2 linked regions of the Diceros bicornis minor genome follow. The protein of the gene in region 1 purifies or fractionates together with the protein of each later gene. This does not show direct contact. Links are inferred from orthologs where the notes say so. Each region holds a gene or a part of one and is shown on either strand. Other genes may lie near its edges.

Region 1 (7,431 bases):
CTCCCTCCCACTTCAAGCCCTTTTAAAGTAGTGATCTCCAAAGGGGGGTATATATATTCCAGAAAGAAAAACAGATGATCTATGTACAGGGATGTGAGAAGAAAATTAGACATTCTATATTAAATTTTTCACATTTTTAGATTTAAAAGTTTTACTAATATTCAACATACAAATAGGCATTGGCACCCTCACTCCAGCCATACATCAGACTAGCAGTTCCACCATGGGGAAGAGTGAAGGCTGGTGCCCTCAGCTGGATGCTCCCCTTCAGCACACTGCAACTTACTTGAGCATACTATATTCTACATAATAAAAGCAGACCTTTGAACAGTAGAATCTTTGTAAAGAGACAGGAAGTGACAATAACTTTCTGATTTCCTGGGTTTTCAACGGCCTAATGTTTACGAGTTAAATTTAAAGATGATAAGCAATTTTCTTCTACACAAAGAGAAGAGTTCTAGATATGCTAACCATTTATGTGATGACAGATGGCTACCAGTAGTATATGCTACCTAGCAGGTACATTCCAAAAAACAAAACACACTTTATCTTGTCAAAGTAAAGATATCACTTCAATAACGAGTGAGAGGGGCCAGCCCGATGGTGCAATGGTTAAGTTCTCAGGCTCCACTTCAGGGAGCCTGGGGTTTGGGAGCCCAGATTCCGGGTGTGGACCTACGCACTGCTCATCAAGCCATGCTGTGGCAGTGTTCCACATACAAAGTAGAGGAAGACTGGCACAGATGTTAGCTCAGGGACCACCTTCCTCAAGCAAAAAGAGGAAGATTGGCAACGGATGTTAGCTCAGGGCCAATCTTCCTCACCAAAGAAAAAAAGTTTAAAAAAAAATAAATAATGAGTGAGAAAGTAACTGCTCTTCAAAGGATACTTGTACTAAGGGGAGAACATTTTGAAAAATTATATTTGGAAATATTTCCAGTGTTACATGATTTTGTTGCTGAAATATATCTATTAAAAATACTATTTTTTCAGTCATTATCTACACAGATTATAAAAGATTTGAAAACATGGAAAGATTATTCCAGTGAATCTAAAAGTTTTCTGAACAGAGTTTTTAAAAATAGGTTTTAAAGTTAATTTTTTACATATATAAAAATCAAATACCTTCCAATTAGCAAGAATAACTGATTGAGATCAAGGAAGAAGGGAACGTCACAGCAATTTCAACACAATCCTGTGCACAACTGATGGTTGAGAACTGAAACATTAGTAATGTTGCCAACGATGCAATTCTTCCATTTGGATCTATGAATCTTTGTGAGGTATCTTTTTTTCAGTCATGACAGTCATTAAAATCAAATGTCAAAAGTAACTGAATTTGGAATCAAAACTTTGAATAGTTTATATCTAAGTGTCACATCAAGATTTATCTTAGTCATCAACACAGCACACTATAATTAATAAATCAATAAATCGGCAACAGCAAATGTATACTGGATGCTTTACTTGACATTATCATTTTTGTTAGGCATATCCCTCACCTTCAAGGAGCAGAATAAAACATAATCTTCAGATTAAATCTAGCCATAAATTATTCTGCCAACGATCCTGAGGTCAAACTGTAAAATTCAAATATCACCACCTCTGGGCCGGCCCCGTGGCTTAGCGGTTAGGTGCGCTAGCTCTGCTGCTGGCGGCCCGGGTTCAGATTGCGGGCGCGCACCGACGCACCGCTTCCCCAGCCATGCTGAGGCCGCGTCCCACATACAGCAACTAGAACGATGTGCAACTATGACATACAATTATCTACTGGGGTTTTGGGGAAAAGAAAAAAGGAGGAGGATTGGCAATAGATGTTAGCTCAGAGCTGGTCTTCCTCAGCAAAAAGAGGAGGATTAGCATGGATGTTAGCTCAGGGCTGATCTTCCTCACAAAAAAAAAAAAATTTATATATATATAAAACCACCTCTGATTTCCCATGAGGATTAAACAAAACCACACTAATTCAGGTGCCTAGCCGAGTGTCTGAAATAAATAAATGCTCAATAAACATTAACTACCCTTTCCTTGGCTTGAAGCCATGTGATTAATGAATTAAGAATTAGATAGGTTTGAATTCTCATTGTACCACTTGCTAGTTGTGTGACTTGGGGCAAATTATTTAACTCCATCTGTAAAATGGAAATAACACCCCACCTTATAGATCATTAAAAGAAAAGTCATTAAAGAATAATGCATAAAGCCATTCAACCCACAAAAGACAATTAATAAATGTCCAACATTCCTCCTTCAAGATAGCCTATTCATAACTGTACCAAAAGTATAGATTTATGGGTGGTTGAATTAAAAAAAAAAATCCATCAGAATCCCTATCTTCTAGTAAGAATTACAGCCATACAGTACCCTAACACCCGTGCCCGGCAAGGAGTGTACACTCCATTAATGTTTATTGAATTCAGGTGAATTATGTGCACTGTCACTTGGCTAACTGTGGCAGCCAGGGCTAGCCTGATGTGGGACTAGGTCTTTCTGCTACTCAAACCAGGGTTCTTTCCACTATCCTGTGTACCCTCTCTCGTTTAAGTCATCTACTTACTGATAAAATTATATGCTTATTCATATTGGTACAAGTTAAAGGTCATAATGAGGTGTTACCATAATTTGAGTTTTTTAGGTTTCTATGGCTAAGGAAGTCACTACTCTGTTAAAAATGCTCTTACATAAAAGGAAAAAAAACACTTAAGCTTCTTCCTTAAATCAGGAAGAAAACAAGGTTTCCTTTCGTTTGGCACAACTATCATAGGAAAGTCACCTATGTTTATGATTTCCTAAATGTAAACTGTGTAGGAATGTTTTTAGGATAGCAAAATTCTAGAAAGGTACAAACCAATTCAAACCGTAAGCAGCAAACGCTAGTGCAATAAATAAAGCCACTCTATTCTTGTCAAACTCAGAGCTGAATATACTTTAAGCAAAACACTATGCATTGAACATACAAATGCAGGTACAACTGTACGCGGCGCGTTGAAATACACATGAAGCACCTGTAAGACACAATGAGTCAACCCACAGCTCTGGAGGATAAATAGATAACAGGTTTTAAAATGTCTGAAAATTGCAGCTTCAGTGCTTTCGCAACACCTGCGTTTACGATCTGTCACGTGAAGCAAACAGGCATAATTAAACGGCACTACTAGGGCCACAACCATTCCCAGGCTGGCCTTGTTAACCTATCGTCAAGTAAAAGCAGGCAAACCGGCAGAGGCCTGCACCTAACTTTCTTCCAGATGGCAAACGCTGTCACGGGACCGCGGCGTTCGAGTAGCCAACCCAAAATAAATAAAGGAGTAACTGGGAATTCTGACATCCCCAAAGGCCCTCCTCATCCTTAATCTTTCCGGAGTGTCATCGCATGAAACGGGGTTTGTATGCCACAGAACCCCGCGACCCCTCCTGCCCCGAGGGGCAGCACTGGTCACCTCCTCCGATGGACCCCTTCCGGCCAGCTTCCAGACCCCAAACCACTGACTCAACCCATTCGCATAGTGCAGACTTCACTACCTCTGTTCAGTTTCCGCAGCACGTGATTTGGGGGCGCAAACTTGCTAGAAACAGATTTAACAAGACTTGAACCCATTTCTCTGAGCCCTGCCACACTTGGATTCAAACAATTCCCAGGGAACGTCACCAGTCTTAGATGACACTCGTTCAAATCGCCCGAGGAGGGGAGCGAGTCCCGCCCGGCTGGCCGCCGGCAGCTCTTACCCATTTGTCCAAGGGGACCTGGGCGAGGGACCCGGTGCCCTGGTACAGGTCCAGGCTGAGCTGCTCCAGGCTCAGCTTCTCCTGCAGGAAGTGGCCCAGGTACCTCTGCAGGAGGTACCGACAGGCCCTCTTCTTGATGGACTCTGAAAACGGCCAAGGCATGATGAGGGCTGGCAGCTGGGCCGGCGGGGGCTGCGGCTCTGGCCTTGGGGGCGCAGGCTCGGCTCCAGGCCGCGGCGGCGGTGCCTCGGGTCCCGGCCGGCGTCCCCAGACCGCGGCGGGGCCTAAGCCCGAGGTGGCCCCTCCATGCCCTCAAGGCGCCAGGCGTCCCTCAGGGCGACCCCATCGCCTGCGCCGCCCGCGCTAGGCCTGGCGGGGACAAGGCGGAGGACTTCCCGTCGCCCCAGGCCCGGGGGCTTCCGCGGGGGTCCTAGTGGGCACAGGCAAAAGGTGCGAGAGAGGGCGCTGAGACGCGGCAGGGGCTGAGGGGGACACCTCCACCACCGCGGCGCAAAGAATTTGTTGTCATCCGCCAGGCGCGCTCCCGGCTCTGGGGACGCTCCCGGCGCGCGACCCCGCGCTGGCGGAAGTGACGCCACACTGGGGGTCGGGGGGGCGGGGAGAAGGGCCCGGAGGGGAGCAGTTCCGGCTCCGAGGGGGCGGGGCGAAGGCGGAGGAGAGGGCGCGGCGCCGGGTCCGCTCCAGACACGTCGGGAGGGCGGAAGAAGAAGACAGCGGTTGCGCACAGGTGAGCGGCCGGGGCGGGGGTGACCGCGGGCTTGCGGGCGGGCGGCCGCTGAGAGGGCTCGGGGGCGGGCCAGGGGCCCTCTGAGCGGGACGCGGCGCAGCGGCCGGGCCGTGAGGGGCGACGGCGGAAGGGGCCCGTGCGGCGGCCGAGAGGAGTCTGGGGGCGGGTCCGGCCTGGGCCGTCCCGGTCACCTTAGACCCCGACCCCGGAAACGGGCGCTCGGAGCGCCGCGGGGAAGCTGCAGCCGCCCTCGAGCATCCCCGCCCGCCCCCCGAGTATTGACCGGTGCCCACTGTCGGCAAGTTATTGGTCCCCTGCCTCGTTCAGGTATTGTCTCCAAAGCTTCGTTTCGTTACTGTGTGTCTAGTGGCTTGCAGTTCAGAGGGCGCTTTCTTCATCCTGGGTGGGCTGCACCAAGACCAGGAAACTTGAGTTTTCGAGGCATTTGTGGGCAGAACTGCCTTCTCTGATCCGTGCCAAAGCCTCCCGACCCCTGAGAAACCTGAGCGAAGTGTTTGTGCTGTTCTGGGAATCTGCGCAATCGTATTTCTGCCTTTTAGGAGACAACAACTGCAGGGGCGGAGCTGGCTCTTCACTCAGTCAACCCGAAAAGGCCTGCGTGCGGGTGCTCAGCGGCCTGGAAGCCTTCTGTCCTGGGTCAGAATCCTGACCCTGGCATTTATTAGCCGAGCCGCCTTGAACCGGCCACTGCCCTCTCTGAGCCTTTGCCAAGTGTGAGCGTGTTAATATCTTATCTCCGAGAATTGTGATGAAGCTTAAATGATAAGAGTAGGGAACGAACCTAAGCAGAGTCCTGATAACGTATAGTTTAATTTAGGATGGTAAATGAAGACGACCTGTTTAAGGAGATTTTGTTTAGATGTTGATAACTTTCATGAATGCCTTAGGATTACTAACACAGAGCAGAAATGTCGACAGAGAAAGCTCTGGTTCCCCTTTCCACAACCACTTTTTCATTTTAGAACCAGTGTGCTCTCCAGTGTATGTAGTTGCTTGGATTGTTGCTGCCCCTCATTCTTCGTAGACTTGTCCCAAGCATTCTCGGTAACTTCAATTCCCTTGCTCTTCATTTATTCAAAAATATTTGTTAAGGATCCGTTAAATAAAAGTCTCCACAACTGGTGATGTGAAAATGTAAAGAATCAGGCAGAACCTTCAAGGAGCTTATGTTCTAGAGTGAAAAGTCGATTCCTTTATTCAATAAATATTTATTGATTGCCTGCATGTGCCACGGACTGTTCTAGGTGTGGGGATACAGCAGTGAACAGATTAAGTTCCTGCCCTCCTGGAGCTTGTATTTTATTGAAGGGAGGAAAAACAAACAATAATCAAATAAATCATATGCCTTGTGCTGGTAAGTGCCATAGGGACAAATAAAGCAATATAAAGGAAATGGAGAGGGGAAGATTTGCCACTTTTATATAGAGGGGTAAGGAAAGACCTCTCTTATTTAATAGGGTGACATTTTAGCAGAGACTTGGAGAAAGCTGGGGAGCAAGGTACATGAGTACCTGGAAGAGTTGTTTTCCAGGCAGGGGGAACAGCAAGTGCAAGGCCCTATGGCAAGAGCATGCTTGGTGAGTTCAAGAAACACCAGGAGGGAGTAAAGGAAAGAGGAGGAGACAGGGGGTGAGGGGTTGTCAAGTCATGCCAGGCCTGTAGACCATTATAAGGACTTCGGCCATTACCCTGGGTGAATGGGGTCGAGGAGACAAGTGACAATCTGACCTCTAACTGCTGTGTTGAGAATAAGACTCGTGTGGGGGTGGGAGGACCAGAAGAAGGATATTGCAGATCAGTTAGAAGGATATTGCCATAATCCAGGCAAAAGATGACAGAAGGATATTGCAATAATCCACGCGAAAGAAGACAGAAGGATATTGCAATAATCCAGGCAAAGGATGACAGTGGCTTGGACTAGAGTAGCAGCAGTGAAGATGGTAAGAAGCAGTTGGTAGGCAGATATATTTTGAAGATGATAAGACATGTTTGTGAATAATAATGATAATACTTGCCATAAAAGGAATATAAACAAAGTGGTATGAAAATGTGAGATCTCTTTTGGCAGGGAATTACAAAAGGCCTTGGGAGGTTTGAACTGGACTTTTGGCGGATGGGTACAGTTGACTTCTTTCAAGTCCATATGTTAAATAAGTGATTTCCCTTGGAATATAGAATTACATTCAGGCTGTCCATTGAATGCCTGAGATTTCAAATATCAGAAAAGGAAAATAAAAATTGGAACATTTTGTAACAAACATACTCCCTTCAAAGTGTTAAGTGTGTTGTCTTATATGTTTTATGCTTTCTAGAAGAAATTCAGCATATATGTTAAGGTTTAGGAGCTGTCATGATTATATCTTTAGCTTAAATAGGGTGCGAACTCACCCTAAATCACAGTGCTATTTTTGTGTTTTATCAAAGACAAAGTATTATCACAAAATGTTAACAGCATTAATTAAGTGAGGAAGGTGAAGATAATTTCCAATCAAACTGTCAACTTTTTCAGAATTTTGTGAAAGGATTTGAAGTGACAGGTTAGAAGCTATATACTAGAGGCTGGATGGGCCATCCTTCAAAGAAATCCATGTTTATATGTGAAATCAAAGCCGATAAGATGATGTTGGCACTTTTTTTTTAAGACTTGCACCTGAGGTAACAGGAATATGATGTTAGGGCTCCCAGACTGCACAGCTCTTGGGGTCGCACAAGGCAGCAGCACAGTCACCCTACGTAACATAAAAACACCGAATTTAGTCAAACTGCTTGAGTTTCAGGATCAGCTCTTTTCTTCTTTAAAGATGTTTTTAAACACTTTATTTTTAATATATAATAATAGATAATATTTCTTGAGCTTACCGTGTGCCCAACACCATACTAAGCCGTACTGACCACTTCTTGTTCATGCTGAGAGAGTTTTCCAGACCATGATGTAT
Region 2 (7,744 bases), on another chromosome or scaffold:
TGCTGTCCCTCTCCCGCTGCCCACCCCAGCACCAGTCCAACCCTTTCACCCCCAGCTGCTCCTAGGACTAGCCCATAGGCAGGGGGGTAGGGGGGGTGGGAAAGGGGTGCCCTGAAACCAAACTGGAAGCCCCCTCTGCCTCCCACCTGGGGCCCCTGGGGTGGGGGTCTGTTGTCAAGCCTTATTCTGTATTAGGGATGGAGGGTGGGGGGGAGGGAAGTTGGGGGCTGCTGGAGAATGTATTCAAAACAATAAAACTTTGGACCTTTGGATGCAGTGATCTGTCCTGGGTCCTGGGTGCTGGGTGCAGCTGCCACAAGGCCACAGCTTTCGCATGATTCTGAAGGACGGGCCCCAAATGGCCCCCCGTGGATCTATGGCCAGACAGCCTAACTGCCTCGGAATGAGGCAAATTCAGGCTTGGGAAATGCTCTCCCAACCTCGGGGGCACATAGCCTAGCCCCCATGGGCCTGATGAGTAAGGTCCCAGGCACACTCGTCCTCTCTGACTGCTCCCCTATTCCATGGGGATCTGCGCGTCCTTGGAAGCACTTTAGGCTCGTCACCACCACACCACTGTCCTTGCTCTTCTGATTGCCTGCAATACCTTTCCTCTCGCTCTGAGTTCCTACCCAGGACCCCAGACTCTGCTAAAGGCCTGAAACTCCTTTTGGACCACCCCTAGTAGCGTGCCACACATCATTTTTAGGGCGCTTCTGAGTTCATTTGGGACTCCTTTGGCGACAGGCCTGCACTGTCTCTTGAAATGTAGACTTTGCAAGGTCTTCCTATGGAACCATGGGAACACCCTCTGCCAGCAAGTTGGGAAGGGCCTAGCTTAATCCTGGTTGCTATTGATTGAGCTACTGTGAGCCAAGTACCTAGTACCTAGTTAGGAGCTGCAGTGCTTTATCTCCAACATCCAGCAAGGTAGGGGCAAGTGCCTCAGTGAAATGACTTGCCCAAGGCCCTAAGCCCAGCCAGGATGGGCTTAAATGAGGTCTGTCTCTGAAGCCCGTGTTCTTTCAACAACCCCTAAAAGCCGGGATGGTTGGATGTAGACCAGGGTCTCAAGATCATAGGATCTGAGTGGTGAGCTCATAAAGCTAGAAGCCCAGGTTGGAGAGTTCGAGTCAGGGATGAGAGAGTCAGAAGGAGGAATCCAGGCATGAAGTGCCCTTACAGACAGCTCAACCCTTTCAGTGCAGGTGAGGAGCCTGAGGCCCAGAGAGGGGAAGGAGTTGCCCCAAGGTCACACAGCTGCTAAGAGAGTGGGAATTGAGGGCTCAGGGCCTGTTGAACAGGCTGCACATGAAACCCCACCCTGTGCAACTCTGAGGGGAAAGAAACTGGCAACTCTTATCCACTCGATTCATCTTCACTTCATGCCAGCCCAGGGTGGGTGGTCCCAGATGATGTCTGTTGGCAGTGAAGAGAGGATCCAGGGCTGGGGTACTGGCAGGAAACCTAAGCTCCAGAGGCGGCCTGTGGGCAACTGCTCCCTCTCCTGGGTGATGTAAGGCACTCCCTGGGGTGGGGGCCACTGGGCTATTTCTGGAAGTTGGGATGAGGCATGTTTCTTGGCAACATAGATGCAGCTGAGTTGGTGGCGGTGTGATGGAGAAAGGGGGATGTCATCACTGTGGGGAGGGGGAGGACCCTGACTAGTCTCAGCCTCTGATGCCAGTGCCTTCAAAGCACCTCTAACCAGGTCTAATATGGACTCAAAAAGTGCTCAGCTCCAGAACTGCTCTCCAGGTCAGACCACAGCCCACCCAGACTTGCTGCCCCAAATTCTGGCTGAGTGGGATGTCACTGGTGCCATCTGGTCTTGAAAACACCAGCGGCTCCTCTAATCTTTAATGACGCACTTAAATCTATTCACAGTTCCTGTAAGACCACACCCTTGCTCCCTTCCACATCCTCCGGGATCTCTGAGTCCAAGTAGAAAGCCCTTCGTAGATCTCACACGACTTCACCAACTAATTCATCCCATCAGAGACCCCCTTCAAACCTATAACCCCCAGCACCCTCACACACCCCCAAACCTCCTTCCTGATGCTACTCAACCATCCCTCACCCCTTCAGGTCCCTCAGAGATCCCCTCAGTCACCAGTAGTTTCTGAGTGTCCCATAGACCTTTTAAAGACACCCTAAGTCCCCTGACTTCTCTACTGGTCCCCAGTAAGATCCCTTCACCTCTCCACGGACTCCCCTGAGCACCTTCAGATACCCATAGGCCCCTCAGAGACACTTAGAACCCACCCTAGCACTCCTCCACAAACGTTCTCAGCCCCTACAAACATCCTGGTAAGATCCCCTGAGACGGTCGCCCTCAGACTCCCACGGATCCCAATCCCTTCGCGGCGGTTGCCCACGCGTGGCCCATTGCGCATGTCCCACGGGTTCTGGCCGTTAAGTAACGGCCAGTTAAGTAACGCTGCGCTGCCTGCCCTTGTGGGCCTTCTTGGTCCGGTGTACGATTCCCCAGGCTTTGGAGCTTCTCTCAGATTTTTGCTTTTCGACTCCGAGCTGCCATCAGAGGGCAGCAGGCACCGGTTGGCTGAGAAACTACAATTCCCAGAAAGACTCGCTCCGGGCTGTGCGTGATGCAGCCACATTCATTGAGAAGGGAGCGGAAGTGTGTCCGCGCTTTGCCTTCTGGTTAATGTAGTCTGAAAAGGTTTTAGCGCTGCCTTCTGTCGCGTGTCTACGTCCGCTGGGAATTGCAGTCAGGAACAGAATGAGTGGAGACTTTCTTCAGGCTTCAGAAAGCCCAGACAGGGCGCCGCCCCAGTGGCATAGCGGTTAAGTGCGGCGGCTCCGCTTCAGCAGCCAGGCGTTCGCAGGTTCGGATCCCAGGCGGGCACACAGGAATGCTTGTCAAAACATGCTGTGGCGGCGTCCCATATAAAGTAGAGGAATATGGGCACAGATGTTAGCCCAGGGGGAATCTTTCTCAGCAAAAAGAGGAGGATTGGCATCAGATGTTAGCTCAGAGCTAATCTTCCTCACCAGAATAAACAACAAAAACAGCAGACAGTATGAACACAGGTTGAGATTAAAGTCTGGAGACTCCATTTCCCATCATTCCGCGAGGCGGGAGGGGCTGAGGGTGATTTTATTCCAGTTCCACGTACTTCCGGGACACACACACACACACACACACACACACACACACACACACACACACACACACACGAACTCTGTTTCCCAGCGTCCTTTGGGGCTACTGTCCTTCCGGATATTAATCGGTAAATGGGGCGACGTAATGCGTGCACAAAACCCGAGGCTACTCCTAGCCGCCGGCTTCCTTGTTTTGGTCCCTCCAGGATCCTGTAACTAGGAAGAGAGAGAACGCAAAAAACTGAATGGGGGTTCAAGACAAATTGTATTTTCATCTTTTTTAACGCTTGGCTCAGCCTCCTGGTACAACCCACATTGCTAGAAAAAACTAGACTGTATCCGAAGACTATAGTGTTCTGAGAAACCGCGGGAAACTGTTTCCCAAATCGTTTGCGGGGTGTTTTTCCTTTCCGATTTGGGGAAACTTGGAACTGGAAGGAGTGTTTGGACTTCATTTTCCAGCAGCCCCTGACTGATTTCGGCTCTTCCTTGGGACCTGGGGGCGGGGAAGAAGTGTTTGAAACACTCTTCAGTCTCCCCAGGGTACTGCCGTCTTTCACCTTTCGCTCACGCTCTCCCGAGGGTTCCCATTGGACTCCACTTCCCGGCAAGCCTCTGCAGTCTCGCCTCACAAAGGCTCAGGATCCGGTCTGGACTGTTCCCCAGCATGTTTCAAGCTCATGGTAGATCCCTCCCCTTCAGTCAAAGGGGAGGCTGCCTTGAACTCCATTTCCCAGAAGACAGAAGGGTTCTCCGTAGCAACGGCTCGGAAGTCGTGGTGTTGACTACATTTCCCAGCAGGGACTGCGGCCTAGCGTGCGAGGGAGGAGGAGCGCTGTACCTACTCCATTTCCTAGCCTATCTCTGGAACTGCAGTATCCCCTTGGGGGGTGGGGGGTGGGGGGTGGGGGGTGGGAGTGGGGGGGCTCAGGGATCACAGGGGACTCCATTTCCCGGCGTGCTTTGGGAGTCGCTTTACACCTGCAATGCGGTGAGGGCGTGGCGACGAATCCATTTCCCGGCTTGCCTCACAGCCCGATATCTGCGGGTCTACAGGCGCTGACTCAATTTCCCAGAGAGCACCTGGCGCCGGTCATGGCGCCGGTCAGCATACATAGCCAATAGACTAAGTAAGCGACCTGACTCCGTTTCCCGGCGTGCATCAGACCTACATAGCTCACTGATGGTGTGGCTCCGACTACGTTTCTGAGGCACACCTAAGGGCTCGTCGTTGCCGCAATGGAGTGAGTGTGCGACTCTGACTCTGCTTCCCAAAGTGCTTCGGGGTCCGCTATCGGCACAATCGGCCGACTTATTGCCCAGGACTCTATTTCCCGACGTGCAGCGCGACCCATCATCCCCGCGGTTTACTCTGAGGCCTTGGCGGACTCCATTTCCCAGCGTGCCTCGCGGCGCTCCGTGCGCGCCGAGGGCGGCGACCGCGGCGCGGAGGGCAGGCGGACTGCATCTCCCGGCGTGCCCCGCGGCGGGCGCTGGGCCGGAGCCGGAGCCCGAGCGGCGCGGCCTGGAAGAGGCCGGAGCCCGGGGGAGGCGGCGGCGGCGGCGGCAGCGGCGGCTGGGGCAGCCCGGGCAGCCCGAGCCCCGCGGCCTGGGCCTGCGCTCGGCGCCATGAGCGGCGGCGCGCCTTCGGGGGGCGGCCCTGGGGGCTCGGGCCGGGCGCGAACCAGCTCGTTCGCTGAGCCAGGCGGCGGAGGCGGCGGCGGCGGTGGCGGCCCCGGAGGCTCGGCCTCCGGCCCGGGCGGCAGCGGCGGCGGGAAGACGTCAGTCGGAGCCATGGGTGGGGGCGTGGGGGCCTCGAGCTCCGGAGGTGGCCCCAGCGGCAGCGGCGGAGGAGGCAGCGGCGGCCCCGGCGCGGGTACCAGCTTCCCGCCGCCAGGAGTGAAGCTGGGCCGTGAGTACTAGCGGCGCCCGTGAGGGGTGGAGGTTAGGGTTCCTGAAGCCCCTCAAACGTCGATTAGCTTCTTCCTTATGCCAAGATAGGAGCTCTGGGTCGCTGTGCCTCCCAAAACTGGGAGTTGAGCTCTCCGCCTCCCGGAGAAAGGGATTTGGGGGATTACCATCACTTGGAGTTTAGAATTAGAATTATTAACTCTAAAAGAAATAGGGATTACAGGTTTCTCTTCTTCCAGTACCAAGGTCTTGGGTCCTTGAGCCGTAAAAACAGGGATCTGACATTGCCATCCATTAGAGAACAGGATCAGGGGTCATCGTCGCTTGCAAATAGGGCTGAAGGATTATTGTTCCCAAAGAAAACAAGAATAAGATCACCACCACCACCACCCAAAAAGGGGGATCTGAATTTGCTTCCCTTTAGAGAAGGGGAATTTGGGGTTACTGTGTCCCCAAAGAGCAGGGCCAGGGCTTTCCAAACTTGCTACCCAGCTCGTCTTCCCTTTTAAAACACAAGCTTTAGTATCATTACCCGTCTATAATATGTACAACTGTATCCCCATTGGTGGAAATTAATGGTTGCTGCTTCTTAGAGATAAGGACAGATTGGGAGTCAGCATACCCTTCAGACCAAGTTCATAGTCATTGTTCTTCAAAAAACTATGACTTGGTGGGTCTCCTTTCACAAAAATGGAATGGGGGTTGGGGAGGGTCATAGTTCTGCATAGAATATAAATCTGAGATTATATATCTCTTTCATTGTTCTGAGGTATGGTATCATTGGCTCTGGAAAAATAGCTATGTAGGATCATCTCCCTCCAAAAGAAGGTGTCACTGGCCCCTCAAAATGGATTTGATTCATCAGTGACCCCTTTTCTTTGGGGAACCTTTCATCAGTTCGCTGAAGAAAAGGGGTCACCATCCCCTGAGAATGCCACCAAAGTTCACTGCCATTTGGAAAATGGAATGGGGAATTCTAGCTTTCCTTCAAAGGACTGAGGCTGAGTTAGCTCCCTGATAATAGAGGTCAGGTTCACCATTCTCACAGTTGGCTTGCCCATTAGGGACCACCCATATACAGGAAAAGAGGTCTGGGGCTCTGGACCACACAGATGAGGAGGTCAGGTCAGTGCCTTTTCTAACCCCAAAGTATTTGGGTAAGGGTTAACTGACCCCAAAAAGTGAGTCAGGGCACTAGCACTCATAGCAGGAGGAGTCATTGATTTCTGTCACCAAAAACCAGTGGTGAAGTTACCAGCCCCACTGGGGAAGACTTAGAGGTCACTATCCCCAGAGCTGTGAGAAACATTAGTGCTTTCCCAAAGTAGAAGTACCTCAGGGTTTCCGCTCTCAAGTGGAAGAGGTTAGGTCAGGCTTTCCCCAGTCAGGAGGGGCCAGAGGGCAGTGAGCTGAGTAGATGGATTCAACATCTGGGAGAGTCAGTATCTCCTCAAACCAAGAGGGACCAGTGGTTTACTGCTTACTAAAAGTGGAAATTAGGGGTTACCAATCCTTGAACGGCAAGAGATTTAGGTGTCAGTATTCTCCCATATGGGAGGAGGCAGGATTCCCCTGAAGGGAAGAGGGGAAAGGGCACTGGTCCTCAAAAGCAAGGAAGGGACAAAGAGGCCCCCAGTAGAGATTCCCCTTCCTCTCACAGCCCCACGATGGGGTGGTGGCCAGAGGGGAAAAGTCAATGGATTGTGTGTCCCCTTTGTTGTTCCCCAGGTGACAGCGGGAAGGTGACCACAGTGGTAGCCACTCTAGGCCAAGGCCCAGAGCGGTCCCAGGAGGTGGCTTACACAGACATCAAAGTGATTGGCAATGGCTCATTTGGGGTCGTGTACCAGGCACGGCTGGCAGAGACCAGGGAACTGGTGGCTATCAAGAAGGTTCTCCAGGACAAGAGGTTCAAGGTAGCTTGCAGGGAATGGGGACAAGGAGGTTTGACTGGGCCTGACTGGTGAGAGAGCCCCAGTGAGAGTGCTGGACTTGGGGTTCCCTGGGGGATCTGAGCATGGGCCAGAGGGGAATGGAGAAAGCAGAGAGTGAGTTGTGTGGAAGATGGGATGTGGGTTCCAGGAGAGCCCAGAGTTGACAGTGTTGGTTCTTTTGCTCTGTGTAAGTGCTTTGTAGGCAGTTCTTGTTTAATTTATGTAAAGATTCTTTGAGGGCAGGTACTGTTGTTATTTCCATTCTAAGTAAGCAGAAACTGGAAACTGAGACTCAGATAAGAGAATTGCCCGAGGTCAAGACTAGAATCTGCCCTCTAATTCCCAAGCCCTCCATCTTAACCACTAAGCTACACTTCTGCCAAGAGGAGAAAGGAAGCTGGTGGGGTTGATGAGTATGTTTGCAAGGCTGAGCTCTGCCCCAGGGACTTGGCAAGTGCAAGGTGAGCCTGTCAGCGCTCACCAAACCATGTGCCTTGGTGTGGGGCTCTGTCCCCCTCAGGAAGGGGTGCCCTGTGAGCTAGTGGAGGCCCAGGGAACTAGGAGATGGAGGAGGTGGAAGTTGAGGGATAACTGGTGTTTGAAGGACTGGCATTTTGGAGCCCAGGTTAGTCTGGATGTAGGAGAACTGAGCCTAGGCTGGGAGGGAACCAGGTCAGGGCCTGGGTCTTGGCAGTGTGTACTCTCAGGGGCAGGAGGAGCTCCAGGTGTCAGTCAGAATTTGATTTGTGTAGAGTCCCAGAAGTGAGAGGGAT

What was found.
Region 2: the proteins of GSKIP (region 1) and GSK3A purify together in Homo sapiens (affinity purification with mass spectrometry; 7 studies listed by BioGRID and IntAct, with this or other methods). This does not show direct contact. The link is inferred for Diceros bicornis minor from reciprocal best matches to the Homo sapiens genes GSKIP and GSK3A.

The regions. Positions count from the first base shown.
Region 1 is NC_080763.1:41,849,912-41,857,342, forward strand, and holds the start of GSKIP (GSK3B-interacting protein), read left to right. Parts: upstream 1-4,405; 5' UTR 4,406-4,474; intron 4,475-7,431. Other genes in the region: ATG2B (autophagy-related protein 2 homolog B), read right to left, coding at 3,727-3,888. UniProt on the Homo sapiens protein: A-kinase anchoring protein for GSK3B and PKA that regulates or facilitates their kinase activity towards their targets.
Region 2 is NC_080773.1:17,022,054-17,029,797, forward strand, and holds the start of GSK3A (glycogen synthase kinase-3 alpha), read left to right. Parts: upstream 1-4,670; 5' UTR 4,671-4,755; coding exon 4,756-5,038; intron 5,039-6,765; coding exon 6,766-6,953; intron 6,954-7,744. UniProt on the Homo sapiens protein: Constitutively active protein kinase that acts as a negative regulator in the hormonal control of glucose homeostasis, Wnt signaling and regulation of transcription factors and microtubules, by phosphorylating and inactivating glycogen synthase (GYS1 or GYS2), CTNNB1/beta-catenin, APC and AXIN1.